4 linked regions of the Arabidopsis thaliana genome follow. The protein of the gene in region 2 interacts with the protein of the main gene of each other region in a pairwise test. Each region holds a gene or a part of one and is shown on either strand. Other genes may lie near its edges. The genes, in order: ZFP11, AT1G16640, VDD and AT3G11580.

Region 1 (7,076 bases), on a different chromosome or scaffold from region 2:
CAAATACGTAAAATCAAATACATAATTCATCAGCCAGAATTTTGAATTACTTGTGCTTCAGTAGTCGTCGTAACACACTTTCCCTCTGATTTCTCTGCTTCAAACGAGCTACCAGAATTTTTCGCCATTACTCTCTCTGTTGGTGATTTGCTTGTAATTTAGGGTTTAAAGAGAACAAGGATGCTCTTGTCGTCTGCTGTCTCCCTTTTTCTAGCCCAATTTTATAAACGGCCCAGTAAAGCCCAATTACATAATCTGAGAGCATTAGTGACTTGTATTGGTTTCAAGTTTCATTCACACACACACGTAGATAAGAATTGGAATAAAGAATCAATGGTGTTGCAAATGTACCTTTGAAATATGAATACACCACTTCGTTAACAAAATCCTTGTGGTTTTAAAGGAGAAAAATAAAATGCAAAAATTTACAAACCCATCTACGATTCTATCAAGAAAAAGGGCAAAGACCAGACTTGTCCATATTAACACAACACATCAAAGATCCTATCTCTTCATAATACAGTCAGAAAGAAAAAAAAAAAGAAAACAGAGGTGGCGATGGCTCTTTTGTAGAATGCTGGAGACAACTTGGAGCTATTGTTGCAGGAGTCTTGAGTTAGATTACCAATAGCTAACTTCACTCCTTACGACCTTTGGTTGGAGGAGAGGGTTTGTCTGAAGCCACTTTAAACTGTCCCATCTTCTTCTGCAGATCAGCCAGAGGGTCTTTTGAAATCTTTCCCTTAGGACTCTTCTTTCCATTTCCTACTTTAAGTTCTAGGCGATATAACGCACATGCGTCAGATTCATTGATTTGGTATTCAAAGAGATGCCACTCAAAGGGACCTGGAGGTTGTGGATCCATATAGTAAGATCTCTTCTGGCCTTCTTGTTCCTTCATCAGTTGTTTTCTTGATTCATGCCAACCTCTTCCACTGTAATCTGGAAGTGATCTTTGCTTTCGGTTTCCGCTATCATATGCTCTTCTAGGTTTGTCAAAGAAGAGCCACTCTCTAATTGTTTCGCCTTCAACCAGTTCAAGATGAAATAGCTCTGCAAGTACAAAAAATTAAGGGTCAGGCAAAAGTAAGAAACTCACATAAGGCTTCTGTTTTCAAAGAGGCAACGAAATGTTGAACTAAAACAAAGAGAGAAGCAAAACTGGGCTCTAGTGGGACAATGCTCTCACCTGCTGCGTTCCATGGGCATTTTGTGTTAACAGCTCCTTCACACACTGGGATCCCAACATTCTTACCCTGAGTCTTTGCACGAAGAGCATCAATCAATAGATTATCTTTCAAACTGATGCCCCCTGGCCTCAATACAGGTGCTGTGCCAGGCGAATCTTCATTCAGAGCTAGAGTCCCATGGTAGTTACTGCAGTAATCCAGGTACCACTCGGAGCCCTGAGCAGGCCTTGTGCAATCCCATAGTGCACACTTAGGTCCCAGAAAAGCAGATGGAGGCACACGGACACTTGATGGAGTAGAAAATTCAGCAAAGTTGTCAATCTCTTCAGAAGAATCAAGCTTAGTGGAAGGGCTGTTATCTAGTTCCTGACGCACTTCGGAGAAAATATAATCATACTGAGAAGTTATATCCAAGTTGCTGCTGAGTTTTTGGTCATGGAAATCAGGAGCGGAGTTTATGCTTGGATCAAACCCTTCATATCCATAATGGAGTTGCTGGCCATGTGTTTCTGTGCTATTAAGAGCATCCTGAGATAGAAAAGGTGAACTTGTACATAAGGAAACAAAATCAAAACTAAGACAAGAATGAAAAAGATCAAAACTCATAGCTGAACTGGAATAAAGAATCAACGGTGTTCAAATGTCTAGGAACATCTAACCAACAATCAAAAGATTATAGAAGACAATTTTGACGCAGAAACTGTATCTAGCTCACCTCAAAGCCGCAGGAGAAATTTCCGTTGAAAGGACTTTGACTAAAATTCTCAGATGTCCATTCAGGAGGGCACAAGCTTTGAGAAAAACCCTCAGGATCAGGCTTTGCTCCAGCATGTTCTTTTAGCGTACTAGTTGCATCATCCTCCTCGTCTAATTTCAACAGAGGAGCAAACTCCTCAAGGAATTGGCTAATACCTTCACCCTGCAACATGTTAAAGACCAAAAGAGCTAAATCTCAACCAAGCTTACAGATTCACTATTTTTCAAAGAATTGGAACCATAAACCATAGAGAAGTATGGTAATGGAGTAGGACGAACCAACAGAGAAGATTCAGGAGAAGGAGCAGTGAGTTCAGCTTGCCACTCCCGAATATTCTGAGAGATTTGGGCTTCTAAAAGCGCAAGGTCACCATGCCGCCCTTCTTTCCTAGCAGCTTGAAGATGACAGAACCTCTCCTGAAGTTCCCTTAGCTTCTCCTCCACATTCTGATGCGCCGATGTGATCTTCGGGTGGTTTGACATCTCCTCTAAACCCTGACCAAAACCATTCTCAAAAATCAACTAAAATCTTAACCACAAAATACCTTAATATTCCGATTCTCATGAGGAAGGAAACAAACACATTACCTTAAAACCAAAGCAACAGAGATTGGTATCTCTCTCTCCTTCCTCCGATCTCTGGCTATTCATCACAAACCAAAACTGATTACTTAATGGAAGGTATTGAGCAGAATTCACGACAACAACAAAGCAAAAAAGCATTTTTTTAGATCAACCCAATCCTAAAACAAACCATCAGTTCCATTAGAGTCTATACAAACAAGCAAAATTTCAACCCTAAATTCATGAAATCGAACAAAACCCTAACATGAGTCTGACTAATAAATCCATAAAATTGAGAAGAAATTCGGATAAAGTTCATACTTTTTCGATATGGATGGATACAGAGAGCTTCTTCTTCTGATGGAGACGAAGAAGACACCGGAGATATCGCGATGAAGAAGAAGAACAAGGCTAAGTTACGCCAGCAAACAGAGAGCGACGATTTTGATTTTCTCGTTTTTATTTATGAAACGCCGCGTTTCATCTTCTATTGAGGGGAGGGTGTCTTTTATGATTTTCCCAAAAACAAAATTAATAAAAAAAAACTTTTAAATTTTCCAAATTCAATAGATATGCATTAACTAGATGAAGATTATTTTTTCAATTCTTAGAGATTGGTCAATTGAGAAAACTTTAATGCTTGATTAAGGAATGAGAATAAAATTTGATAAGTTAAAATTTGTCACACAATATATATTTGACAACCGAAATTGAGTTCCTCAACCCATAAAGTTGATATGCTGATAGGGTTATAATTCTATATCCACCAATTTTGTTTACACTTGTCTAGATGTGGCATACGATTGTTAGCGTTACTGGTTTATTACTTAGTTTTAAAGTAATATGTAAGTTTTCTTAGTTATGGATATAAGCTGCAATAACTCTGAAGACATCAGGGACGTCATTGTCTATGTCCTTAATGCATACACAAGCCTTGTTTCTTTCCTTTACAGTTTCTTCTAATCAATGTCAAAATCAATTAGTAATAGTTTTGGTTTCTTTTGGCCCTCCATCACTATTCACTACAATCTCTCCATATCAAAAAACTAAACACATGTTCATATTTTTAGGCTATCTTGTGTGTATATAATAGATGTTCAAATATATATAATGAAGAGATTTGTGGAGCCAGAGATGGAATATGATGAAAATGAAATGGCAAGTTATCTCCCTGCAAGATTTTGACACAAAATATTAATGCAACACAGAGTTCCCATACCACAATAACATTGGTCTCAAGTAACTTCCAATTATAGTAACAAGCAGACACATTGCAGGCATATGAGCATCATGAGTTAAGTAGCCTCTATTCAATTCCTCTTTCTCTCCCTCTTAATCATGAAACTACCTCTTTGTCTCTTTCTTTCTCTCTTTTTATTTTATTTTTTTAAATAATTTCCACTCATGATATCTAATCGAACATAGCCTAGCCTATACTCATTATTCTCCAATATATCTGACCAAACATGTAACAGACTTAAACCCTAATAAATGATCATCCGTACATGCACCTCCTTCCTCAAGTAAGGATAAAAACCACCTTCTGTTTTTGTTTCCCTTTTGACTCTATATAACACATAGTAACTCCTCCGTAGTTACATTCTTCCTTAGTTCCTCATCAAACTCAAAAATCTCTATCTATACGGTTTTCATCATCCCCCACTCTTATTCTTTCTCACTTTTGAATTAATATATACATACATAACATCTTAGTTTATTTCATGCAGGGGAGTATCATACTATCTTCATCATTCACCACCAGCATTGATCATCATCTGTTGGAAAATATGAAGAGAACACATTTGGCAAGTTTTAGTAACAGAGACAAAACCCAAGAAGAAGAAGGAGAAGACGGTAATGGTGACAACAGAGTCATCATGAATCACTACAAGAATTACGAAGCTGGGCTGATCCCATGGCCTCCCAAGAATTACACTTGCAGCTTCTGCAGGAGAGAGTTCAGATCTGCTCAAGCACTTGGAGGCCACATGAATGTTCATAGAAGAGACAGAGCAAAACTCAGGCAGATCCCTTCTTGGCTCTTCGAACCTCACCACCACACACCTATTGCAAACCCTAACCCTAATTTTAGCTCTTCTTCTTCCTCTTCAACAACAACAGCTCATCTTGAGCCTTCCCTAACCAACCAGAGATCCAAAACCACTCCTTTTCCTTCTGCCCGGTTTGATCTTTTGGACAGTACTACTAGCTATGGAGGTTTGATGATGGACAGAGAGAAGAACAAGAGCAATGTATGTAGCAGAGAGATCAAGAAAAGTGCCATCGATGCATGTCATTCAGTAAGATGTGAGATAAGCCGTGGGGATCTGATGAATAAGAAAGATGATCAAGTCATGGGGTTGGAGCTTGGGATGAGTTTGAGGAATCCCAACCAAGTTCTTGATTTGGAGCTTCGACTAGGCTACCTCTAAATTCTTTTGATTAGCTAGTATTTGTACTTCAAAATTATATCTAGTATAATCATGTTTAGCTGAGCAGTACGTGAGCTAGAGATTGTGATTGCATTCAGGCTAATGGTATTAAATAGTATTAGGCTTAAATTTATTGGAAGTCAAAATGAAATTAAAGTTGAAAAAATCTCCATATGATTTTTTTATCAAGAGTGTTCAACAGTATATGTGTTATTTTCCTAGTTTTTTCAATCAAGAGAAGATTTTTAAAAGAAAACAACGATGTTATAATTTTTTAACTTTATTAATTGTGTTATTATTGGTTATAAATTTGTCAATTTCAATCATCCCTAATGTTGTTATACAATATGAAACTGTGTAGTAGAATTACGTGCAGTATAGAAGCTAGAAATTAGGATTAGAGAAAGTGGGTTGCATGTGTATGTGAGTATTAAGAAAGACAAAAAGTGATAAAGATTGCATTATTATAGAGATGGGTTGATGAGACACAGACGCATGCGACAAAGTGGTACTATGAAACATATAAAGATGGATGATGATCAATTGACTCATGAATAGTTAATGTTTTCATCTTTTACACTCACCATCACATCTTTATGTATAATTACATATATCTAGCATTTCTCATGCATGTCGTGAAAGCACTTAATGGTATGTGTGCGTGAAAAAAATGAAAACAATTTTCTCATTGTTGAGAAAAATGTCTTTAAATTATTCCACATTCAGTTTATATATAGTCGAAAGCCTGAAGAACCGTTGGAAGATGGAGAATTCAGAGTTGTGAATGTGACTTTGATCAAATTCGTGTGCCTAAACAAACGAGAGTTTGTTAATCAAATTAAATGCCAGGCTAATATCTAAATATGCCTCAGTCAAATTCAACCACTCATATTGACCAACAAAATGTTACTATTAAATTAAAACAATTTTATACTTCTTTGATTCATCACACGTGTGAGTGTGGATGGATATGTAGTTCAAAAAGAGACTTCATCCCTAGTTATTTCTTCAAATAATAATGTCTCTTTTCGAATATACAATCAAAAACCATTAAATTTGAACAATATTCAATTTTGATGGCATGTGATTATACTACTTTTTTTGGTCATGGAATTCAATACCATATCAACTATATTTATACTAAACATGAATGAATGTAGAGAGTACAGACAGATCAAGAGCCAAGAGTGTAGGAGACAAGATTAGAAAATTAGAAAACAAGTGATGTGAAAAGGAAACAAGAAAATGGAATGTTTGGTCAATACATTTGGGATGTTTGTGGTTTCCCCATGAACAAATTTAATCTGACATTTTCCATCTTCCCCAACAATTTTAATTTAATATATACAATCCATCATCACCTTTCCTTTTTTAGAATCGATCACTTTCCACTCTAATCTCTACGTTCCCTTCAATTCTTCCCTTTTCTATGAATAATAATTACAGTGAGTTTATTTGTGTTTGGGTGATGTGAAAGGTAAGAGATTTTCATCATGCAGCCTAATATTTTTCTACTTCTTACAAATGTATCCCCAAGTTTTAGTGTTTCTTACAATAATCACCTTCCGTTGCAATTCACTGTCTTAAATAGATTTGGTTCTAATTCTAAGTTCTAACTTCTAGTTATGGTGAGGAATTTATTTGAGCAATCCTAGAGATTATTTGGCTAAAACTGTAAACACTTATAGGTTTTGTTAACTGTCCAATCACATTGACTTCTGTCTCTATCTCAAAATCACATGTTTTTAGTTATGTCTTCTCACCGGTTCATTCCAACCCAAGAATCTTTTTATTTTGTCTGAGGTGATTGTTCTGATGGAACCGCGTGACATACAAAATTATGTTCTCATATGAATTATGATAGAGTAAAATGTGATAGAGTTTGTCATCCTTCGACCAAAGAATACAAAAGAAAATTGAGATGTATCAATTAGTGTGCGAGGAACCTATAAATTTAATCTTTGGAAACGCCTGGACATCGAAGCACCAGTGGTCTAGTGGTAGAATAGTACCCTGCCACGGTACAGACCCGGGTTCAATTCCCGGCTGGTGCAATTTTTTTAACAAACCAACGCCCAACATCGTAATGAACCTATGTGGGCTTTAACGGCCCATTTTGCTTTTCAGTCCGTAA
Region 2 (7,375 bases):
CTTCTTCGTAGACAGCTTCAAGACTGATTTCACCACTGTTTTCCGATTCTTCTTCAGGTTCCTGATGACCAACATTCACTTCTTCTATATCCACTTCTAAGCTATCCACTATGAACCCATCAACAATGATTTCAACACTAGTTGACTGGAAAACAGCATCAGACAACCTTTTGTCTTCCAAAAGAACTGTCAAGTTATGAAATTGAAAAGGAACACTTCCCTCCTCTTCTCGTAGACTTGAGACCAGCTTATCAAGATACACAAATGATGATTCTGCCCACATCCTCAGCTTTGCACCCAACTGCTCAAAGTTCTCGCTAGCAGACATTATGATCTCTGGAGAGATGTTAAACTGATAGAAAGGTGAATCTGTGATGGTTTGTTGAGAAAACGTCGTTGAAGAAACCAACAACAGATACGCCACACCAAGAGCCAAAATCCAACCAAGCAACATGGATGTCTTGCTGAAACGAGACTGTTTTGAAATCTGATGAGTTTCTTCTTCTTCAATGCTTTCGCCAACTACTACTTCTTCTTCTTCATCATCACTCTCTACAGCTTCCAAACGCTCTTCACCATCAACATCCAGAATTTCCTCTGCGGCTTCCAAACGCTCTTCACCATCATCTTCTTGTTCTTCTACTGCAACTACACCTTCCTGAGAAGCAACTTCCTCCTCTTGTTGACCTTCCTCCTCTCGTTCTGCAGACAAATCAGTGTCAGAAGAAGAGCTTTCAGAGATGAAAAGCTCCTCAAGCTGCTTGCACTCATCAGAACGATGCTCAATTTTTGGATTTGGCTTATAATGGAGAAACTGAGGCCTCGGTGACAAGTAATTCTTCTTTGGATCATAAGGTGCCACCACTGGATCCACTTCATGAGACTCAAACACAGGAAATGTGCATGGAACATAAGGAGGAAGAGGACTGATCTTGAAGCTTGAATTATCATTACTCTTCCTCTCAAGAATCTCATCGAAATCACTGACAGTAATATCATGTGATTCCTCTTCACGAAGCTGCTTAGTTTCATCGATGCAAATCTGGTCTACATCTTTATCTTCCCCAATGATGCTTATCACATCAGAAAACGAGACAGACGACTTTACCTGAACCTGGTGATGGGATTTGTCAAAGGATCGAGACACTTCGTTTTTATCAGACAAGATCTTCTTCCTCGGCGATGGATTGATCTTGGAAACGGCTGAAATTGTCGGTGACATGAAATGCTTGGAACCTTTTGTTGGACCTTTGACGACATTAGCGATTTGATCCTTGTCGTTCTGATTCTCTTTATCACCAATCTCAACACGATTACTGCATTCTCTACCGATTGAGTTTCTCCGGGACGGATCTGCCGAAAATGGATTGCCTCGGAAACTGCGACGCATCAGATCTCCGGTTTCCGAGTTTCTTTGCTTAGGGTTTGGTCTGGAAGGCATTGAAGGCGAAGAGGAAGAGAATAGAGAAGAAGGAGAAACAGAGATCTTGTTCTTTGCTGGAGAAGACGCCATGAATGAAAATCACTCCGGAAATCAGAATGGGTTATTTAACAAATCTCAGATTTTTTGCGCTCGTTAAAGGAAAGAAAATATGCAAGAATCTGCAAGATTGTGAATGTAAAAAGTTCCTAAGTTTTTGAATTTTTAAAAGAGAGAGAGATAGAGAGATCGTAACGGCTAGTTGCCAATTTGCGATTTATTTATACATAGTGGATAGAAAAATCCCTAATAATTTTAAGTATTGCAAATTGATTCTGATTTTGACCATTTTTCACTGATACCCTAGTTTTCCAAATTTCTGTTATCTCCCCATAAATTTAAGATCTATCTAAATGCCCCATGCTTATTAAAGACTTCACAACGTAAGATTTGATTCCTCTTTCTTCCTGTAAAGTTGTTAAATTTATAAACGTGGATATTTATGGACAATGTAGAAACAGTGGGAAGAAATTAATGATTCTCAAAACCTTGGGGTTCAAATTAAAACAAAATTTCAATTTCTGTAGCCGGAAAATAGAGCAGACGATGTAACTGGGCCGCCACGATGATGACACGTCTGATCGCAGAGAATAAACTAGCCGTTATGGGCTCTCGTAAAGGGTAAGAGACGTTAATCAACCTATTAAAAAGACAGGTAAATCAGAAAAGCAGGCTTTGGGCCCGTCCACTGATGGAAAAAGTGAAAGCACCAATTATGTTGAAGGTTTTTACTTAACGGGCTTTTGACTGACATTAAAGAAAATTTGGTCATCGGCTAACTAAATAGGCCCAGTTTACATTATTTTCTGAGTTCCAATGAAATAAAATCCTTTTCTAAAAGTCATCCTCAAATACCACATCTGTGTGAACCTCATCGACACAAATCAGAATATCTTTCATAATTTTATGGATTTATAACTTATTTTGCGATTATCTGCGAAAGTGATTAATTAAGATGAGTGTTCATGTTGCAGAACTAATCGTTTTCGGAATAACTACCATCAAAATAGTTCTAGACAATTGTTACAATTACGTTTCTAGATTAATTTAGTCCATGAGAATTGAATTCTGAGGGGATTACTTTTCCTTCTTTCAGGCCAAATTTTTGCTATTGAATATCAACCTGTTGATATGAGTTAAATCTGCATTATGACTTATGAACGCAAACGAAGAAAAAAATACCAAATCAATTTAACAACAGAAATAACAATCAGAACTTTGGTATGAAATACTTAGAACCAAATCAACCAATGATGAATTTTTCTCAATCGATTTAAGGCAAATTGAGACAAAACTAAAAGATCCGACAAAATCCGATTCTGAGAAAACAAAATCAACGATTTCATACTAAAAGAAAAGGATTTAAGGGAGAGCGAGATTCAGATGGTAGTGCATGATGGTAAGATCATCAATGATGGTCAGAGTTGGATTGTTCTATGGAATCATCTTTCATCATCATTATCACCGCTCTCTCCTCTTTATTAAGAGTAAAACATCGACTTTAAATCTAAGAAAACACAACACAATAGACAAAATAACTTCTAAATTTTTCCCTAGAAAATAGTAATGAAGCTTCGAGAAAACACTGAATTTCTAGAGCAGACGCTGTTTCGAAGAATTCTGAGTCGTACATCAAAAGATTTGAGGTCTTTAAATAGTGGAGAGAACTCTAGGGTTTTAAGTTGGATCTTCTAGGTCGATAGGATTTGTCTCAGCTCGTTATTGGGCTATTGGGCTGTATAATTTGGCCCAATAGTAATAAGAGTTTGGTTTTGTACTTTTTGTATGGTGTGGCCTTGTAGAATAGAAAAGCAGTGATTGGTCAAAAGGTGGCAAGTTGTTTGACTATGACATCAATTCCTCATTTCATCTTTTTGATTTACAGAGAAAATTGAAATAGTCCACTCGGGACCATTGAAGCTCTCTCTCTGTTTCTGCATTACAAAAAGTGTTTGTTTTCAAGGTTTCTCTCTTTCACTTCTCTTTGTTTTCTTCATTTCAATTTCTGGATTTTGCTTGTAGCTACATTTGGTCTCACTCTATTCCATGGCTGACACTGGTGAGGTTCAATTTATGAAGCCTTTCATCTCAGAAAAGTCATCTAAATCATTGGTGAGCATGGCTCTCTATCTTTCTTCTTTTTTATTTTCTTATTTCAACAAGTTCAAAATATGTGTTTAGTGTTCTGATTTGGAGACTTATGGTTTAGGGTAAATTGCTTTAGTTCATTTTCATGGAGCTAATAACTTAGGTCCTTTAATTGCTTTTGTTAGCTTTAAATTAGCAAAAAGCAAATGAAAGCTTACTGAATCTTGCTAGATTTAGAATGAAGTTTATGTGTTGGTGTTGTTATAGGCTGCTTGAACCAAACATTTCTGCGGGGCTGAAAAGTGAAAAATAGCAAGTCCATTGTTTCTACGTTGCTGCTCTTGGAATGTCTCCTGAGAGTTGTTTTTTTATATATAAATGTTTGATTAGGAAATCCCCTTGGGATTCAACGAATACTTCCCAGCACCATTTCCAATAACTGTGGACCTCCTGGACTATAGTGGGAGATCTTGGACGGTTAGGATGAAGAAAAGAGGAGAGAAAGTGTTTCTTACAGTTGGTTGGGAGAATTTTGTAAAAGATAACAATCTCGAAGATGGCAAGTATTTGCAGTTCATCTATGACCGCGACAGGACCTTTTATGTTATCATATATGGTCATAACATGTGTAGCGAATATAGAGACTTCCCTCAAGTCGCAGTAGAGGTTGATGACTATGAAAACGGTGAAGAAGAAGAAGACGGCGACGATCAAGACAAACATCAGTAACTAAAATTTGGGTCTACTTTAAGTTGCTTTAAGTTTAAGTAGTCAGTTTTCATGTTGGATTTATGTAACCAGTTGTTTAGTTTAAATATTACGAATACTAGTATTTGCTTTCTGCTACATTCTTTGGAACATGGTTTAAAAGATTTACTGTGTATTGCTATCATTTTTGTGATAATTGTATTTGGTGAAGTAGAGTGTTAATACAAGAGAATGAGAGGAAGTGTAGGAGGGGGCATGAGTCAAAACCTTCCGGTGCAGTTAGAGTCTCTTGAAGACTCGGCCACGTGACAATATGGGTGTATTGACAACAGAATAAATAAATGTGGGCTAAATTGAATAAATTAAAATTTACGAGGTATTTTTAGAAAACATTTTGACGGTTAAAAGCAAGTGTTTGCTGTTTGGTTGGCTTTTGGCGGCGGAAACTAGAATCGTTGCTGCTACTCAGGTCATCGGGATAATGAAGAGCAATAAGTTTTCTTGCAAAACGAGAGCCGAAACCCTAGAATGGATCACAGCCATTATCGATTTCCTTAAACCGTTTTCTTTCCTAATCAATGCTCACGTTGTCAATTTCTTCAAGGTATGATCGATTATCGGAAACAATTTTAAATTCAGCTTCGAGTTGGGTTATGAGTTGATTGATGGGTTTGTATTCCAGGATAAGCAATGGGAAGCTGTTAATGAGGAATGGATGAGTTGCTTAAAGGATGAGAAGCCGGAAAATATTCTTCTTATTCCCTCCGGTGGTGTCCAGGTAAAGTTCTGGTCTCAGTCTTCATGATTGAGATATTTGATAGAAAGGGTAGATTTTTATTTTAGTTTGGAAAGGAGATGATTGATTATAGTATTTGATTATAGGATCACTGGCCTGCTTCACTAAAGAAATTTGTTCACACGTTGAGGTCTCTATCGTTTCCTCGAGAGCAAGCGGATTTACAGGCGGTATTGTATTCTCTTTACCTGTTTGTGCTGTTTCAGGATTAGTATTTTTAGATCCTAGACTAAATAAAGTTTAATCATTTTCGACTGTTGGCAGATACTCGCAGACGTGGATATGGTACCTCTTAGCACCGTTCTTTCACAGGGCATGAATCTTAAGAAAAAACATGAGGTACATTTTTATCTTCACACTTCACTATCCAGAGGTGCAAGTCGTGTCTTTCAATGATGTCTTGTTTTGGTAGGAATTTCAGTAGATTGCATCTGGTGACTAATCCCAATCCAAGAACCTTAAATTCAAAAGAGAGTATATATTTTTTTTGTAGCTGTTCAAGTCTTTTTACCATCAAATTCTGGCAAAGTTATCTGCCACTTCACGCGTAAAACATGAAATTGAGGATCATTAACAGCTCATAGCATTTTATATAAAAGTTTCTTAGTACAAAACTTATGTTTGTTTAAACGTAAGGTATTTGTCAAATGTATCTTATACTGGCCACTTCATTTGAATGGATCTGTAGGTCACTTATTATGGTATCATGCAGGTTGAAGTTCTTTCCTCTGTTGTTAGCTCAGTTGTTAAGAGTGTTGGAGCTCCTACTGTTGTTGATGTCGGTGCTGGCCAGGTATCTTCAATCCCTTTCTCTTGTTTAACTATCAATCTTAATTGCATGGTTCCTTTTTCTCGTCTGCATTGGTGAATTCTCTTTTTGGCTGTTTAAGGAATATTTCGAGTGATGGTTTTTCTTTCATATCAGAGTTTTAGTAACTTTGTAGTATATTATAGCTTTCCTAAAGTGTGTTAAATAACATCATTGGTAAATGTTTTGTCCAGGGTTATCTAGCGCAGGTTCTCTCTTTCCAATATAAGCACTCAGTGGTTGCAATCGATTCTTCCTCTCATCATGGAAAGGTAACAGATGCACGCGCAGCACGCATAAAAAAGCATTTTGCAGCACAGATGCGTAAATCTGGGTAAGGGGTTAGCTCATTATAAGTTTATTTCAAACCTTTACCAAGTATCAGATGTCTCTTTCCATTTTTAGCTTGAAGAGTCGCTCATTGTTTTCCTAATTCTTTGTGCACAGTTCTGGTATTTTAGACTTGTGAATGCTACTTAACCTCTTCTCTGTTAGTTCAGGAAACAAGTGCCCAGATGTTCCAATGACGATTACATGCCGTGTTTTATCCACAGAAATGTTGAAGGCCTTGACTGATGTTCATCTGGAGAAGGATGAGACGGATTCTAGTGGAAGTGCATTGAATGAAGAAGGTCAAAGCAGATCACAATCATCAAGTGATGCAAACAGATCGTGTTCACTTGTTCTTGCTGGCCTTCATGCATGTGGAGATCTATCAGTTACAATGCTAAGGTTAGTTAAAATGTTTGCTGCAATTATTCATTTGCGATATCTGTTATCTTCTGAATACAGTATTGGTCCTGATTGCTGTGTTAGCCCGTGAAAGCTGAACCAATATGCAACTTGATTTCGTCAGGACTTTTATGGAGTGTGAAGAAGTTAAAGCATTAGTGAGCATTGGCTGTTGTTACAACTTATTATCTGAAAAAAGTAGTGAGGATTCTTGTTCCAAATGTGGCTATCCGATGAGCGCTGGTCTCAGATCCTTGGGCTTTTCCCTTGGCAAAAATGCCCGTGATTTAGCTTGTCAGGTATAGTCCACTATTGTATCTGTTTTGGATGTTGCAACATTGTTGTTTTGAGTCATTTTGTTTCTTCTCTGTGACCCATTTGTGTAAAGAAATTACATGTGTTTTCTTAGAGTGCTGAGAGATGGAGCAGTTTAGGAGAAGATGCTGGTCTGCAGAATTTCGAGTTGCATTCTTTTCGTGCTGCTTTCCAAATGGTAATATGGTTTTTGGTTATGTGGTTTCTTCCAAGATCTGTGACTAGTTGTTAATAGAATCTTAACTTATAGTGATTGTCTTTAAGAAGTAAAAACCTAATTACCCTTTGAAGGTTCTGTCAAAACATTATCCAGAGGTTTTGGCGACAAGTCCATCCATTGGGCGCCAAGGTAAGGCATTCCGTCGTCAACAGCAACGAAAATCCCTTGAAACTCCAGCAGCAGTAGATACAACTAGGAAAGGTCAGGAGTTTGATAGACTAAATTCTA
Region 3 (7,899 bases), on a different chromosome or scaffold from region 2:
TGCATGCAGACTATTGCATAAGATCCGTAAAACCCGAGACTGGTCTGTTCCTAGCATTTGTCAAGTGAGCCACGTCTCCTTCTTCAAATATTAAGATCAGGACGTACGACAAAAGCAACCAGAGAAATCACAACCAAGAACCACAAGCAAATGTAGCGAACTCAAACCCTCATGAAGTCTAGTTTAGCTTATCGTTGCTCGTCTTTTGTATCCACATTCATTTATCACGTTAGCATCTGGACGACAAAACCATCTAAACTCTCTTCTTATGTGTCCACTCTTACATCCACAAGTTTCAGAAGATTTCCGAGAGGCTTTTAAATTCGCTCAGGGAGTGCTAAAAAGGGTTTCTTGTAGTATACGAAACTCTCAAAACATCAATTCTAAGATGTGAGAAAGTGAAAAAAAATTGGTTATTAAGTGAGTGTCTTTACTATGCAGGATCATATTGATATACATTTTTGGTTATATTCCAAATATAGATTTTCATAAAATAATAGTTTTACATAAAATAGGTGTTGAAACTGTCCTTTTGCTTGTAGCCTCTACAGAAAAGCCGATAATCTTCTTTGAACTCAAGAGGCCTCTGAACAAAGCCATTTCTTGAGTCTGGAAAATCTAAATTTGAAGCTTCTGAGAAAAAGTTAGATGCTCAAAATTTTGAGGTCTGGATTGCTTCACTACTTGGTGAAGAGTTGGTTCTGTCTCTGGATGTATAAATAGATTGATAAAAGACTTCAAATCACCCTGAAACCATTCAAAGTAGGGGTGAGACATACACAAAGATAGTTTCACATGGTTCTGTTTTTTAGGTATGATAGATGACAAGTTGACAACGGAAGCTAATGAGCATTATCATCACTTCACAAGGGTCTGTCTTCTCCATGTCTGTATAATAAATGAAGAGAAGAAGTGAGGTATTCAGTCTCTTTTAGTTTTCATGTGTGGATATAATCAAAGAACAACTAGAGAGTGACATTGAATTGTTGTTCTGTTGTTGAATAACATTCAGGTCCCCACTTTAACTTCTTAATAAATCCATTTCGACTGCAGAGATTAGAGTACTATAGGACAAAGAACCAACCACCTAATCATCACAGAACCTGCTGTCTTTGTTCTTGCAAATATAGGGCACGTCTTATCTCAGAAACATTGAGAAAGCAAGCCCTTGTGAAATTTCACATGGAGATTATTTAAGTAGATAAATTTCATTAATGCATCTTTTCCAGATGGTAAAGACAGAACCATGTGAACTCTTGCTCTAGTCTGTCCCACGCTTCAAGACCACAGTTTCAATGACTTTTTCAGAGAAGTTTCAAATCGTTCATTGATATTTCTATATATACACCCATAACCCCATTATTTCTATCATCAACCAACAACAAGCATTCCAATAACTTGAATCTTTTCATACATCTTCAAGAGCTTCATAATAATTCAAACTTCTTTTATTTAAAATAAAATAAAAATGGCTTTCGTGAGAAGTCTATTGGGAGCAAAGAAGATTCTAAGCCGCTCCACCGCAGCAGGATCTGCGGCACCAAAAGGGTTTCTTGCGGTGTACGTAGGAGAGAGCCAGAAGAAGAGATATTTGGTGCCGCTCTCATACTTGAGCCAACCGTCATTTCAAGCTCTGCTCAGTAAATCCGAAGAAGAGTTTGGGTTTGCTCATCCGATGGGTGGCTTAACGATCCCTTGTCCCGAAGATACTTTCATCAATGTGACTTCTCGGCTCCAATGAAGATGATCCAACATTTTTTCCTTCAGTTAGAAATAGACTTATTCATTGTAAATACATGAGCTTTTTTCTCTTTCTTCTTGAAAGAGTTGTTCTAAAAGTGTAGAAAGTGAAATACAAAATTAATGTTATATACAAACTTCATGTCAATACATTTTTGATCGCTCATTGAAAAAGAAAGACGACACCAAATTCATCAATCAAAAAACTACTCTAATTATAGTTTCATGTTGATTAAAAACAATTAAGTGGAACATCTAACATCCGGATCCGTGGCGCAATGGTAGCGCGTCTGACTCCAGATCAGAAGGTTGCGTGTTCGATTCACGTCGGGTTCAATCCCCCGAACTTTATTCCGGATATCTTTTTGTTTTACCTGCTTATTTCCAATTTTTGCCTTTTGATGCACTACCCCCGGTTCGGGATTCTTGTTACTCTAACCGAGAATTTCAGATCCGGTTTTAGTATTTGTTTGCTACTCTGAATTAGACGGAAACAAATAACAAATGACCACTTTTAACTTACACAATTTATCAGTGGCTGGCTCTTACGTATAGTGTGGGGGTTACATTTAGTTGATGTCTCCAGTGACATTTGATTATAGTTTTCAAGATATTGTCAAGCAAAAAGGAAAAGAAATTTACTTTTGAATTCCAAACTTCTGTTTGTATTTTATTCTATAAATAACATTGCTTTCTCCTTCCAAATAATAAAGACAAGTATACATTGCCCAAAAAGGAAAACTATAGAGACACGCACTAGTTAGGGTTGATGTGGACTGGATCCGATCCCTTTCTTCAATGATTTATTGATACGTATCTGTTACGCTGAATATACATATATGCATGTTTCTTTTGGTATTTTAGAGTACTAATGTATATTCTATAGTTTGATCCCAAAAAAAAACATGTATAGTCTGTAGTATTTTTATTTTTTTAGCTAAGTTTTCAAACATGTAGCTTGTATAAAGTTAATAGGGGTATGTGCTGGACACAAGTCTACATTCTACAGACTAGCTAGTAAATATTAGGAATGAGGTTTTCAAATGGGTGATTAACCAAAATTTGCCGTGAATGTATTTTAGTACAGTATAAGTTAATTAATAGTTTATGCAACCAAAAAAAAAAATATGGAAATATGACGCTGTCTTTTTAGAATTCAGTTACTAAAAATAGGAATTTGCTCTGCTTTTTACGTGTCTGGGAAGTCACGAGCATATTGCTGTTTCTGTGTATCATTACGATATCAAATTACGAATCACAAAAGTTTAATGATTCATGGGAATCTTTTCCAACTAACCACAAGTAAAATTAATTTCAAAGTTAATGCAGAAAAATAAAACACTTTGGCTGTTTTTAGAAATTAAAGTTTTAAGAGACCTCTCTTTTTACCCATTCTTTGCCCACAACCAGAGAGAGAGAAAGAGAAGTAGCGAGTGAGTGAGATAGAAAAGTTGAAAAGAGAAGATGCGAGTGAGTGACTGAGGAGATAGAGTGAAGAGGATTAAAGAGTTAAGACTGAGAGGTTTTGAAGAAAGATCATATCGAAGGAGAGAAGCAGAGATGGTGAAAAACAAAGCTTTTTTTGGTCAGATTATGGAAGAAAGAGATAATCCAGCATTCTTCAAGATTCTTCGAAGGGAAGATCATTCGACTGAAATGATGGTAAGCCTTATCACTTATTTTCTTATTAGCCTTTTTTCTTAAATTAAAGATCGAATCTATTGGTTCTTCAGTGTGTCTCTTGTAGTGTCCTGAACTTAGATCTGTCTGTTCTTGGTCTTAACTAAGTTTTGATGTGTGAAATGATCGGATCGGACCAAATGGATTTTGACTGTACATCGATCAGTAAACTTTTATTTACTGTACTTATCACTGAAATTGAGGAATGTGACTTCATTTTACCATTTCCTGATGTTCCATATTTCTTGATTTTGTTGCCTCTCTGAAGAGAATGATTCCTCATCACTTGATAAGAAGCATCTCCGACAAGTCTTCATCGTTTAAGATGGTCTTAAGAGTACCATGGGGAAGGTCATGGCAAGTTAAAATCTCCAAGAACCCAAATTTTCACTACATGGAAGATCGTGGATGGAACCAGTTTGTGAATGACAACGGTTTGGGTGAAAACGAGTATCTTACTTTCACTCATGAGGCAAATATGTGCTTTAATGTAACCATATTCGAGGCAGATGGTACGGAGATGCTTAGACCAAGAAAAACCATTACTTCTAGTTCCGGTAAGTGTTCATCATCTATGTTATTGCTTTCTTTATGCTTAAGAAGAAGAAGAAGAAGAATACAGTCATTAGTTACTTCTGTGGTTGATTTTGATGCAAACAGGTCGGAACAAGAGAGAAGAGAGGAAGAGCATCTACAAAGATGTGAAGAAGGAAGAAGAGATAGAGTCTTGGTCTGAATCGAGCCATCCTTGTCACAAAACAGCTGAATCTACAAGTGGGAGATTGACGCAGAAACAGGAGCTTAACTTGAGAAAGAAGGAAGCCGATAAAACCGAAAAATCCAAGACGAGTAAGAAGAAGAAGGTGGAAACTGTTAGTAACGACTCTGAAGCCGGTACTTCATCTCTTATTCCAGAATTCAAGCTCACCATAAAGAAATCACACCTTCTGTTCTTGGTAAGATTAAGCAAGACAAGACCAGTGACACACTGTCGAAATGGCTATGTATAAAAGTGTGTATTAATCTAATGAAAATCTGTGATTCAGGGGATCCCAAAGAAATTTGTGGATATGCATATGCCAACTGAGACAACGATGTTCAAGATTCATTATCCGAGAGGAAAGAAGTCATGGGATGTTACATATGTGGTCACTGATGTACAATCAAGATTCTCTGGTGGATGGAGTCGTTTGGCCAAGGAGTTAGGTTTACTGGTCGGAGATGTTTGTACGTTCAAGCTCATCAAACCGACAGAGATGCGTGTGAAAGTCTCCAAAGAATAGACACCATGACGATGATGATATTTTAGGTGTAGTTGCAGAATTAGTGAAGAACTTCGGAACAAGATTATGGTCTGTGATTCAATGTTAGGACTAATTTTATAATTTTGTTTTTCTACTTACTACTTAGGTTTGATTTGTATCCCAATGATGAATCTGAACTCCGTTTGAGTAAAACAGATTTATTCATTTTATTAAAGATTATTGTTGTAGTGTTTACATGATGAATGTGTATAGAGCTCGCTCCGGTCTCTTCTCTTTATTGTTTGACAAAGAAAACTTAAGTTACAAATAACTCCAGCTTCTTCCTTTGGCACATTGCCTCCATCTTCATCTACAATTGCTTGCAAAGGTGATCCGTTGAATACAACAATATCATAAGCCTCTTCTGGTCACTGAGATTTCTGAGCTAAGTTTGAGATGTTTATCCAAGAATCAAGCGTCTTGATAGCTTTCCCAGACGATTGTACTTCACGTGCCACGGTTACTCCTTCAGCTAGCGTTTGAACTCGGTTGCTAACCAGAAGAGCTGCAGCTGCGTTTAGGATCTGAAACAAGATTTTGAAAAAAAAGGATGAACAAATTGCAGAAGTTCAGAGAATGTTGAATCGGCAAATCAAAACATACCAATGAATCCGCAATTGCTCCACTTTCCCCTGAAAGCACACGTCTTAGCACATCCGCATTGTAGTCTGGACCTCCACCTCGCAAATCCTCAAGAGTACAACGAGGAATACCAAAGTCCACTGTCAAAAAGAAATAAGCTTCAATTTCATTAAGCTGCATCTGCAATATTCATTTTAGAGAAGGGATAAAAAGCTAGAGGAAACATTACATGGGTCGAATGAGAATTCTTCGATCTTTTCCGGAGTTACATCATAAACTAGTCCTCCTCCTGTTTTTCGTTAAGCCATGATTGGTTAATAATTGTTCAATAATAAAAGTAATCAATTTTGGGAAGAGATAATCTTACCTAACGGACTCATTTCGTCTAGACCACATGAATGAACCACCAGTGCTCTTTTCATTCCAAATCGTTGCAGTGCCTTTGCCATCTTAACAACCTATGAAACCACACAAGCAAATGGTAAGTAAATGTCTTGTTTTTGTTGATGAACAAACTAATTTCAGCAATAAGTAAATGTACCAGATCTTTGTGGTATACACCAACGACAGCATAAGAAACTCTAGCAGGATTAAGCATAGGTCCCAATATGTTAAAAACAGTTTTAATTTTAAGCTTTTTCCGAACAGGACCAACGATCTTCATAGCTGGATGATACATTGGTGACATCATAAAACCGATCCCCCCTTCTTCAACACATCTTTTAATGCCCTCTGGTCCCAAGTCCAGAACCACTCCTAGTGCCTCTAGTACATCAGCACTTCCACAAGCAGAAGAACTTGAACGATTCCCTTGCTGCAAAATAAGTATCCATTAGTTAGACGACCAGACGAAGATCATTTAGCATTAATGCAGATAGTCAAAATTTAAATATATCGTTTCTTTTAAGGATTTTCTCATTCGTTATACCTTTGCTACTTTTGCACCACAAGCTGCAGCAAGTATTGAAGATCCAGTTGATATATTGACTGTGTTTGCTCCATCACCACCTGTTCCAACTATGTCCACAGCATCAACTAATCCTTCCACTTTCCTGGCATGCTTCATCATTGCCCTAGCTAACCCCACAATCTACCCAATATCCGAATTAAAGTGAACGTTGAGTTAACTTATTGAAGTGCAGTAATATAGGATTATGTATACTTTTTTATTATAAGCCTAGATTGACTTAATGGATACTTACCTCTTCGTATGTCTCTCCTTTAGCTCTCAGAAGAACTAGAAAGGCACTGATCAGCGCCTCGTTTGCCTCATTCAGCAAAAACTCAAGAGATGATTCAGCCTCAGTTTCAGATAGATCAACCCGATCAATCAAGGTTTCAATCAACTGAAAGAAAAACAACAGAACAGAGCAAACGCAGTATGAGAACATAGTAACCCCATGATTTAAATCTCTCTCTTCAAAGCCATTGGAAAATCACCAAAAGTAAAACTCTTTTAAAACCTATAAAGTAGTACACTTTTACTCAAGTCAATAAAACCCATCAAGCAATTAAAATGAAATTCGAAGAACACACAGGGCCAAACATGTTTAGTCAGCATGAAGCCAATAACTCAACCCAACTCAGAAATACAGATACAGATATATAAAAACCCTGAATTGTTCACAAATCAAGAGACTTAGAAACAAGGGATCATCAAACCACAAACTTATCCTGAAAATAGAAATGAAGAGTCACCTGGTTGAAAGATTTAATGGAAGAAGGGCTAGCATTTGCACAAGCAGGTGGCAGAGCTTCAGCTGCACTAAATCCACCGCTCAAACCGAGATTCTGAGAGCAAGCGAAAGAGCTGCAGCAATTCAATGGATCAAGAGCACAATCAAATGACCACAAACAATTTCAAAGGATGTGTTTTTACTCTAATAAGCAGACACCTAAACCCAAAAATCGAGGCTTTACCTGCGACTAAAGGAAGATTGAGCATCCCCACGAATTGGGGAAACAGCTCCGATCGATGAGAATCGTCGCCGACTCAATGTCGGAAAAATTCTAACTCCGGTCAAGTTGCTTCTTCCGCAACTACTGGACGCATCATCTACGGCGTTGAACGAAGTTAAGATCCCTGAAAGCTTGATTCCGGAAACAATGGAGCTCGTCGTCGCCACCGCAATAACCATCACTCGATTGCTCAACCAACACAGTAGAGAAAAACTTGAACGAAGGAGAGATTTCTATGATGGTTCGTTCCTTCCTCTCTAATAAAGCAAAGCGCCTTAAACCAAATCTTAATTAACTTTTAACTTTTGGTCTTTTTGCTTATAAAGGGTTTCCAGTTTAGTACTCAGTATTTTATTTTTTTCTTGAAAAGTGTTTATTTTATTTTATTTTGGGTTTCATATGAATATATTTGTTGATTACTGAATGACTTAATGCTGCTTTGACTAATGGACCTTTGAAATTTCCAAATTGAGTTTGGTTGGTGGTAGTTGGTAATGCTTGGGCAGTGGATAACTCCTTTTGTTAGTCACCAACAACGATTTCCTTGTGTGCTTATTTCCGCACATTTACCACTCTGCTCAAAAAGTAGGTTCATCAATTTTGTCATACCAAACACTTCTTTGTTTTAGACATG
Region 4 (8,912 bases), on a different chromosome or scaffold from region 2:
ATCCTATATATTCGTGTCTATGTCGTGTAATATGTCTATATACCCATGAAACACACTTTAATCTGTAATTTCAAATCCAAAAATGTTTTGTGATATTACATATATAGATGGCACATGCGGCCTTAGATCCAAAAAAAAAAAAAGAGATGGTACAAGCAGCCAAGTGGAAATCTTCTAAAACATTTGTTTTAAAACTTGTGGTAGTAAGTTGTTTTGCTTTGTTATTTATTTTCCACTAATGCAACAGTCACGTAAATTATGTGATCGTGGAAAACTGAGTGATTTGTTTGTTATTTCGTCCAAACGCCATGACTATATATAATAAACATTATTTTTGTCGTATTTCTGGAATACACGCATAAAGTAACAATCTCCGTTTTTCGAGCTATGACCTCTAAATGTCACAAAATTCTCCAGTCGTTTTGTGATCTAAACCAAAAATCACTTTCGAACACTTCATTTCTTCTGTTATTAAGGAGTAAATATTTCAAACTTAAAGAGGTTTCATTAACAAATTATTGAAATAAACAATAGTAGTTTTTATCAAAAAAGGAAAAAAAAATAGTAGTGGTGAAAACCAATTATGGAAAGAAAAAATACAATACGTTTTTTTTTGGATCTGTGCTTGAGAGGCAACGTCGCATTCGTTAGAAGTATGGGAATCGTGTTATTTTAATCAATAAAGTAGCTAAGTTTATAGGGTTTATATGGATTTTGATAACAGGAAAAAGTCATCATATTAAAAAAGTTGAATTGACGAGTTTGGTGAGAAAGTTGTGGCATCGTTCGGTGACGTATCTAGACAAGCTGTAGTGTTTGTTGAAAAGGGCGATTAATGTGATTAAGAGTCTTGTTGGAAAGTTTGTTCGCAGAAGAGGCTAAACTAATTAAAATTAACATGTGTTTATTAATATCACAAGTTCATTAATCTACATTTCTTTTGCACTAAACAATTTTTTAATCACGATGAAATGTTGTGAAGGGTAATAAAAATATTTGACTATGAGAATGTTAATCACGATGAAATTTTGTTTAATAGTACTAATTTGTACTCCTTCCGTTACTTTTTCTAAAATATTTTAGATAAAACACAAAAACTAATAAAATGTGATTTATTATATAACCAAAAATAATTCAACCAATGAAAGCAAGTACTGTAGATTTTGGATGATCATTTAAATAAACATAAACTTTGTCTAGTGAATTGAAAAAAATCAAATAATATGAACAAATAAAAACTTTTAAAAGAAAACGGATGGAGTATCATTCGTTAATATTACCAAACTAATAACATGAATTAGAAGATTTCAGTCAACTTTGTGTTTGTGTCTTATATATGTTCTAATATTAAAAAGATGTAATTTCTTCCATAATACATTATGAAATCAGAAATGAGGTTTGCTCTAGGATGTAGGTACACTAAGTGTGACAGGTCAATTATACGACGCAAATCAATTTAGTTAGGTGATTGAATACATGATTTAGCATTATTGACTAGCTAGGATCGGGAAGCTAGTAAATCAAACCCAATTAACAGAAACTCTTTATCTTGTTAAATTTTATTTTTCTAAACCTGGAATCTAATCAGTCAGTGGTTACTGGATCAGTGATTGTCTAGTAATACATTCATTTAAGATAGGCTGTTCATATATAGTAACTTCTAAAAAATCGCCATTTTACAAAAGAAAGCTTAATATTTGATGGGAGACGTCGGTAGTATAGTTTATTTTTTAAAAAATTACGATGCGTAAACAAAAAATTCTGATACACCTGTTTTCTCTTATAATTTTTTAGTAGAAAAAAAGACGAAGTAAGCAAGCGACCAACAACCTCTATTATTCGTGGGAAGGGATATGTCCCCCAAACATGTGCTATATTCATGAATTAATACTTAACAATTAGACTAGTCTTACTTTTATTCAATATTTATTCGAAAATATACTTACGAAAATAAAATACTTTAACTTATAGTGAATTGAAGAGTTAGTTTAATTTGATATTAATGGGGTCGAGTTGCAGACGTACATGCAAAAAGGTGCCTCTAAATCGACCTGGAAAATCATGTCAGTTTGTCCTTCAGTGCCTCTTTTAATTATGCAAAACTAATATTTGACAATGACATATCTTAGACATAATTAACATGGATCACTACAAATTTTATTTTATTTTATATCACTTATTTTGAATCGATTAAGTGTGAGGAGAGGAGTGAAACACGTCAAATATAACGAATCTTATATCTTTGTTTTTTTTCTTTTATTCTTACAATTATCTTGGAATTTGGAAACCCTAGTTGTTTCGGCTATTTGTTATACTATTGTTATAACAGTCACAAGACTTGACCTCAACGAAAACTTTTACAAAACGTGAATTGGAAATTTTTACAAAATATGCTCTTAATCGTTAATGCTTCCCAATTAGGTGAGTTAAATTGTGAGAGGAACCATTTCTTAGAGGAAATGGTTCATGAAAACAAATATGAAATAGTATCACTAGTCTTAGTTTTGCGAGAAAATTAGGAAAAATAGAAACGTGTAAGCACCAATGATATTCCTGAAAGCACGTGACAGATATTTCATGATCCTATAATTAACAAGTGATAAAGATATTAAATAAAATTAACGATACTTGAGAAATTCGTCAAATAAAATAGAAGAGGACCACTCACGTAACCATTTGCACGTCCCATTGATTTTTGTGGTAGACTTGGTATGTTATATTACTTATATTCACAGAATTATATACGAAACTCACGACTTAAGATGCACGGTAATAACTACAGATGGAAATTTACCCATCAAACAAGAAAACAACATTTACTCAAGCATCTAGCTAGACCAAAATGTTTGTTTACTTGTTGACTTGCGATCCATAGATATATTAGTTAGAACTTTTTCTTCTACAATTGATCAAATGTTTCACACTGTTCTCAATTTCTCATCTAGATTCATGACTTATATGTTTGGTCAAATATCACAGCTTGATGAGCATTAAATAGCGTCGAAGTATAGGATGGTTACGTTGTTCAATATTGTAAAGGAAAAAAAGAGAAAGAGTGCCAAAAGGTCAAGTCGATTTCACAAATAAATCTTGAAGTCTTTATCCCTCTCGATTATAAAATGATTAGGAAAAGAAAAAGAGAGAATAAAATGTAGATAAAGAGAAAGAGAAAGAGAGAGAGGAACATAAGGGATGGTATGAAGTAGAAGTGAAGATGCATGCGATGGTGTGTCGGAAAGGCAAAGCACATGCTACACAACTTGAGCTTCTCACTTGCGTCAGGGATAAGTATCCTCTGTACCTTCTTACTTTTGCGTAATATGTACCACCTCACTTCTCAACCGTTTGATCTTTAATCCTTCATTATTTCTTCATTACCTTCTCTTTTTGTTTTTGTTTTCGTTTTCAATTTCTCATAGATTCATTTACAAACTAAATATCATAGGAAGGTGTTATCTCTAGTTAATTTCTTATCCTACTTTAACAAAATTTAATTGTCAAAAGATTATTTTTACGTTTATAGACAAAAGATACTGACACATCAATTCCACGAACCAAATGGTTGAGAAAAACAAAACGACTATCTTTGTCTTGCAAATAAATTAATGGCAGTTAGTAAGATTCTCAGCTGAAAATTCATACAAGAGTAAATGATCAAATAACCATTTATGAGAGAAATTTAATCCTTCAGAAACCAATGAGGATCTGATCAAGTAATTGCAAACCACATGAGTCCATGATAAAGGATTGTTTGACTTACGCAATCCACATATTTATGGCTGCTTGATATGTAAGGTTTATCTGCTTTGACAGTCTATAGAATCTTGCTAATCAATACGTCATATCCGGTGAATACTGAAACTTTTTTAATTAAGAAAACACAAATCATCTTTTCTCCGGAGGATTTCGAATTTAGTTCCGGCAATGCTGAAATAACATATGTTGAACTTATAACATTCCAAGACATCAAATTTTACTAATATATAAATAATTACATATTCTTCTTCTACATGATCAAAACCTTTTCAACTTTAATTAAAGGGTTACGTCGCGGCGTTTTGTGTGGCTTACTCTTTTTTTACACTATAACTATAGAACACTCGTGGATCCAATGCCGTTTAGGACAAGATTTTATCAGACGAGAAAAAAAAAAACAATACCACATTTTTAAATATATATGGATTATGGACTGCAACAACAATATAGAAAAGAAGAGAAAAAAATAAAAATAATGATTGAAAGGAAATATCATCACGCAAAACCTTAAAAGTACTATCGGTATCGTGTCGTCCTCTCCTCATCAAATAGTTCCCACAGTTTTCACATCAATTTAACCATTTTCAATTTTTTTCACTCTCTGTCTCTCTCCTTTGTATAATACTATATTAGTACCATTACCCATCTCTCTTTCACCACCAAACCAACACCTGCAAATCCTCTCTCTCTCTCTCACTCCAAGAAACCAAAAAAAAAGATGTCAGTCAACCATTACCACAACACTCTCTCGTTGCATCATCACCACCAAAACGACGTAGCTATAGCACAACGAGAGTCTTTGTTCGAGAAATCACTCACACCAAGCGACGTCGGAAAGCTAAACCGCTTAGTCATACCAAAACAACACGCCGAGAAATACTTCCCTCTCAATAATAATAATAATAATGGCGGCAGCGGAGATGACGTGGCGACGACGGAGAAAGGGATGCTTCTTAGCTTCGAGGATGAGTCAGGCAAGTGTTGGAAATTCAGATACTCTTATTGGAACAGTAGCCAAAGCTACGTGTTGACCAAAGGATGGAGCAGGTACGTCAAAGACAAACACCTCGACGCAGGCGACGTTGTTTTCTTTCAACGTCACCGTTTTGATCTCCATAGACTCTTCATTGGCTGGCGGAGACGCGGTGAAGCTTCTTCCTCTCCCGCTGTCTCCGTTGTGTCTCAAGAAGCTCTAGTTAATACGACGGCGTATTGGAGCGGCTTGACTACACCTTATCGTCAAGTACACGCGTCAACTACTTACCCTAATATTCACCAAGAGTATTCACACTATGGTAAATTCAAACCCTTTATTTCCTCTTTTGTTTTTTCTTTCTCTCTTATCTATATGTCAGATTTATACTCCTCTCTGTTCTCTTTTAAGATTTGTCTTTTTCATAAAAATAGATGATTCGTAATTTGTATTGCATATTTACATGTTCTCTTAAAAAAAGTAATAGAGATTAATATTTTATGCATGGTATTTTAGATTATCTGCCTACTTTATATGGTAGTAAACAAGAACATTCATCTTTATTTGGTTTTATAAACAAAATATGAGAATTTTTAAAGGTTAGGGCAAGCACTTGGAAAGCTCAACCATTTTAGTTAGCTGGTGGAATATCTTTCTTATAAAAAGCAAATGAGTTATCTAAAACTATATGACAATTATTTTAGTTGCGTGTGTAATGTATATAAAATAACAACATGAAATAACATTTTGTCTTTTATTTTTGTCATTCTTATTATTTAATTTTGGACCCGACAATTTCAAATAATCTTCTCCAAGTTGTAACTAATCCGTTACATGCGCGTGAGGAGAACCGTCCAATCCACTTAGACTAACGTGCCCTTTATTTCTTCCTTTTAATTCTATGTTAAAAAAACAATTTAACTAAAAGATGCGCACGTGTCTTGACGGTGGAAAAAAATTGTAGGCGCCGTCGTTGATCATGCTCAGTCGATACCACCGGTGGTCGCAGGTAGCTCGAGGACGGTGAGGCTTTTTGGCGTGAACCTCGAATGTCATGGTGATGCCGTCGAGCCACCACCGCGTCCTGATGTCTATAATGACCAACACATTTACTATTACTCAACTCCTCATCCCATGGTAAATATTTTTTTTTTTTACATTTTTGTCAGATTCAAATTTTTGCTTACGTATGATATAATTATTAAACAGATGTCGTGGCTGTTTCTCGAGACGAGACAGATGAAAATTAGTAATTTTAAAATAGACCTGAAAGAGATTTTTATGTTTAATAAATTATATAAAGGAGGAATCAGAGAGAATAATACTATACACTTGACTGTAAAACCACATGGCCAATTTGGTTTTTATTTGATTACTTTGATTTGTTTTGTTTACTCTTTTGTCTCTGTAGCCTCCTTTTGTTCATTAATTAATATCAGCCGTAAGTATATAGTTTCCTGTGAAAACAGTCTCTATTTTGGTTTTACTATTCTAATTTGTTAGGCACCGTCAGTTTTTTTTGTGAAACCAAATTATTGACTAATAAGCTGGAAAGCAAAACTGACTAAAAGCATTACAAACTTATCAATGACATAAGTTTTGAATTTATTACCATGTTTTGTAATGTTCAGATATAATTTGAAATGCTTAGAATTATATATTTGTATACTTAAATTAATGAAATAAAGTGAATACTAAAGATAGTTTTATTTTTCATATTATTCTATACAATTCGGTGTACAATTTGTTTTTGATGATAATAAAAATAATAAAATTGCGTGTTGGAATTGTGAAACAGAATATATCATTTGCTGGGGAAGCATTGGAGCAGGTAGGAGATGGACGAGGTTGATGACTGACATTCAAAAAGAAGTGACAACTTTCTAGATTTTTAACTTTAGAATTTAGATTATGGGCCCATACTTGGCCCAATTGTCATAGAGAAAAAATGGACAAGAATTAATATTATTAGTAGCTTCGTTATGTATTTAGTATTTAACTAATTTGAAAATAAAAATAAAAGATGAGATTTTGTTTCTATTGTACATTTGAGTCAGAACAGAAAAAAAAAGTATATGCAAAAGATGTGAATTAGTGTGGGTTTATAGTAGTTGATATTTGAAGGCTAAAATAAAACCAATGAAAGCTTTCTATAGCACAAAAGTCATTTGAGGGCAGGTACCCCAAATTGGTGAGCTAGGCCTAGGCTAAACCTTATACACATGTAGCATGTATTTGATGATGAAAGATGAATTGGGAACTGTTGAGAGATTCATGTGAGGAGATTACGAGAAGAAAAGGTGTGGGCCTAATTACGAATGATTAAAGAAGAGAGAGCATATTCATATATAGCATGTGTGTAAATATATAGGTTGTGTTACATCGCCTTTTATCTCTTTTCCAAAGCCAAAGCCAGGGACCATTTTATTTGTTGCTGTGTTACTTACACTCTTCTTTTGATTCTCTATTTTGTTTTTGCATTACAAAGACAGTGTAAAAGGAATATGAATCATTTTTACAAGCTATGACAAAAATGGGTTTAGGTCCCAATTCTTTCTATGCATTTATGTTTGTCTTCGTGTTTCTGCATATATATGAGTGTATTGGTAAATGGTAAGTGGCAACACAAACGCAAGTTTCTGTTTCTATATATGATTAAAACATTCTAAAACGGCAACACAAACACAAGCATAAACACAAACAAACAATCATGACTTTTAGTCTTCTTTATTCTCTATTTTTTTTTTGTTTTTTTTTTAATTCTCTAATTCTTGTTTCTCCTCTTCTCTCTGTTCTTTGGTTTCTTTAGTGCTCTTCAAATTAAAGAGTTTTCGGATATTAAATCATACAGAGTGTAGTAATTACCTTTGTCATTTGAAACATTTCCATGTAGAAAAGAGAAGATTTTATTACTTTTGATAGTGTTCCCTTGTTTATATAAGTTCACGGACTCGTAATTAAATCAAAGCCATCTTGTGAAGGTAAAGTCTTCACATACTTGTATGAACCTTTTCATATTAATATGCCTTTTTAGTGTTTGTTTCTTCACTCTTATAGTTGTTTCGTCATTCCCATTAATGCTCTTTAGTATAATGATTCACCAATAGGGATTTTTAAAAATATTGAAATTGTAAAGCAAATCAGCATGTGCTACTTGTGAGTGGTGGTAATGGATACTCGACCATACCCGAAAAGTTCGGTCCAATTTAATTAATTATATCTATATACACTATATCTGCGGGCTATTCCTTATCTATATTAATATGGTAGGCGAAGAAATTCAACTTAAATCTCTCATCAACTATCTTTCATCATAGAATAACGATTAGGACAATGCATTGATTATTATCATTAGATTAGATACTCAGAATCATCAAATTGATGTATAAGGAAATTAGTTTGCTATACTACAGCTTTAATATATTGGGAAATTAAAACTCGTCTCGATCTAAAAGATATAGTAGAAACGAACATGGGAGTAAACTTCTATTACTATACGTTAATAAAATTATGTGGGATGCATTTGCATTAATACTTTTGTCTGTCACATGGATGAATTGATGATGGATCTATAAATTAATTTATTAACGAATTTATTTCCCTACAGAAACATATTTATTAAGACTTTTCTCTCGCAAAAGAAGATCGCAGCATATTCACATTTTCACGTCTCTTCTATACGACATACATGGATCATCATCAAGAATCAAATCCTCTGAAGGAGATTTTCTCTCTATCTTCGTCTCCTTTCTTCTCAACGTTGAAAATCAAGAAACATATATTTGTTGGGATCTCTCTTCTCATCACCTTCCTAATATTCTCTGTTATCGTCGTTGATCTTGCCGGCTTCGAGCCTCATCTCTGTTTCGGATTCTTATTGTCGCCCCGAACCCTAACGAAGGAAAGAGGAAACGACGACGTATGCGACTATTCATACGGAAGATGGGTTCGTCGACGCCGTGATGTGGACGAAACCTCTTATTATGGAGAAGAGTGTCGGTTTCTGGATCCTGGTTTTCGTTGTCTGAATAATGGAAGAAAAGATTCTGGTTTTCGACAATGGCGATGGCAACCACATGGCTGCGATCTTCCACGGTAATTCTTATGTAATTTTGCTTGGACCTGAAGGTATGGTTCTGAGTAAAACAAACATCAGGGTTAGGGTTACAGGCAATTACATTGA

Evidence for each region.
Region 1: the proteins of AT1G16640 (region 2) and ZFP11 interact in a two-hybrid assay, tested with the Arabidopsis thaliana proteins (one large-scale study listed by BioGRID).
Region 3: the proteins of AT1G16640 (region 2) and VDD interact in a two-hybrid assay, tested with the Arabidopsis thaliana proteins (one large-scale study listed by BioGRID).
Region 4: the proteins of AT1G16640 (region 2) and AT3G11580 interact in a two-hybrid assay, tested with the Arabidopsis thaliana proteins (one large-scale study listed by BioGRID).

Annotation. Positions count from the first base shown.
Region 1 is NC_003071.7:17,653,853-17,660,928, forward strand, and holds ZFP11 (zinc finger protein 11), read left to right. Parts: upstream 1-3,971; 5' UTR 3,972-4,015; coding exon 4,016-4,033; exon of another isoform or gene 4,034-4,155; intron 4,156-4,236; exon of another isoform or gene 4,237-4,237; coding exon 4,238-4,942; 3' UTR 4,943-5,124; downstream 5,125-7,076. Other genes in the region: AT2G42395 (uncharacterized protein), read right to left, coding at 51-128; VOZ2 (vascular plant one zinc finger protein 2), read right to left, coding at 638-1,053, 1,190-1,718, 1,906-2,109, 2,226-2,429. UniProt on the Arabidopsis thaliana protein: Probable transcription factor that may regulate cell division and growth.
Region 2 is NC_003070.9:5,683,237-5,690,611, forward strand, and holds AT1G16640 (AP2/B3-like transcriptional factor family protein), read left to right. Parts: upstream 1-3,288; 5' UTR 3,289-3,526; coding exon 3,527-3,592; intron 3,593-3,958; coding exon 3,959-4,297; 3' UTR 4,298-4,491; downstream 4,492-7,375. Other genes in the region: AT1G16630 (uncharacterized protein), read right to left, coding at 1-1,513; AT1G16650 (S-adenosyl-L-methionine-dependent methyltransferases superfamily protein), read left to right, coding at 4,758-4,880, 4,959-5,054, 5,159-5,242, 5,337-5,411, 5,761-5,865, 6,075-6,214, 6,376-6,612, 6,737-6,911 and 2 more.
Region 3 is NC_003076.8:5,956,875-5,964,773, reverse strand, and holds VDD (VERDANDI), read left to right. Parts: upstream 1-3,131; 5' UTR 3,132-3,300; coding exon 3,301-3,402; intron 3,403-3,660; exon of another isoform or gene 3,661-3,688; coding exon 3,689-3,977; intron 3,978-4,080; coding exon 4,081-4,376; intron 4,377-4,466; coding exon 4,467-4,703; 3' UTR 4,704-4,874; downstream 4,875-7,899. Other genes in the region: SAUR19 (SAUR-like auxin-responsive protein family), read left to right, coding at 1,469-1,741; TRP1 (tryptophan biosynthesis 1), read right to left, coding at 5,093-5,248, 5,328-5,446, 5,536-5,595, 5,674-5,764, 5,848-6,120, 6,235-6,396, 6,509-6,652, 7,005-7,116 and 1 more.
Region 4 is NC_003074.8:3,646,834-3,655,745, reverse strand, and holds AT3G11580 (AP2/B3-like transcriptional factor family protein), read left to right. Parts: upstream 1-4,256; 5' UTR 4,257-4,474; coding exon 4,475-5,051; coding exon of another isoform or gene 5,052-5,167; exon of another isoform or gene 5,168-5,693; coding exon 5,694-6,232; 3' UTR 6,233-6,527; coding exon of another isoform or gene 6,528-6,581; 3' UTR 6,582-6,786; downstream 6,787-8,912. Other genes in the region: TBL8 (TRICHOME BIREFRINGENCE-LIKE 8), read left to right, coding at 8,418-8,824.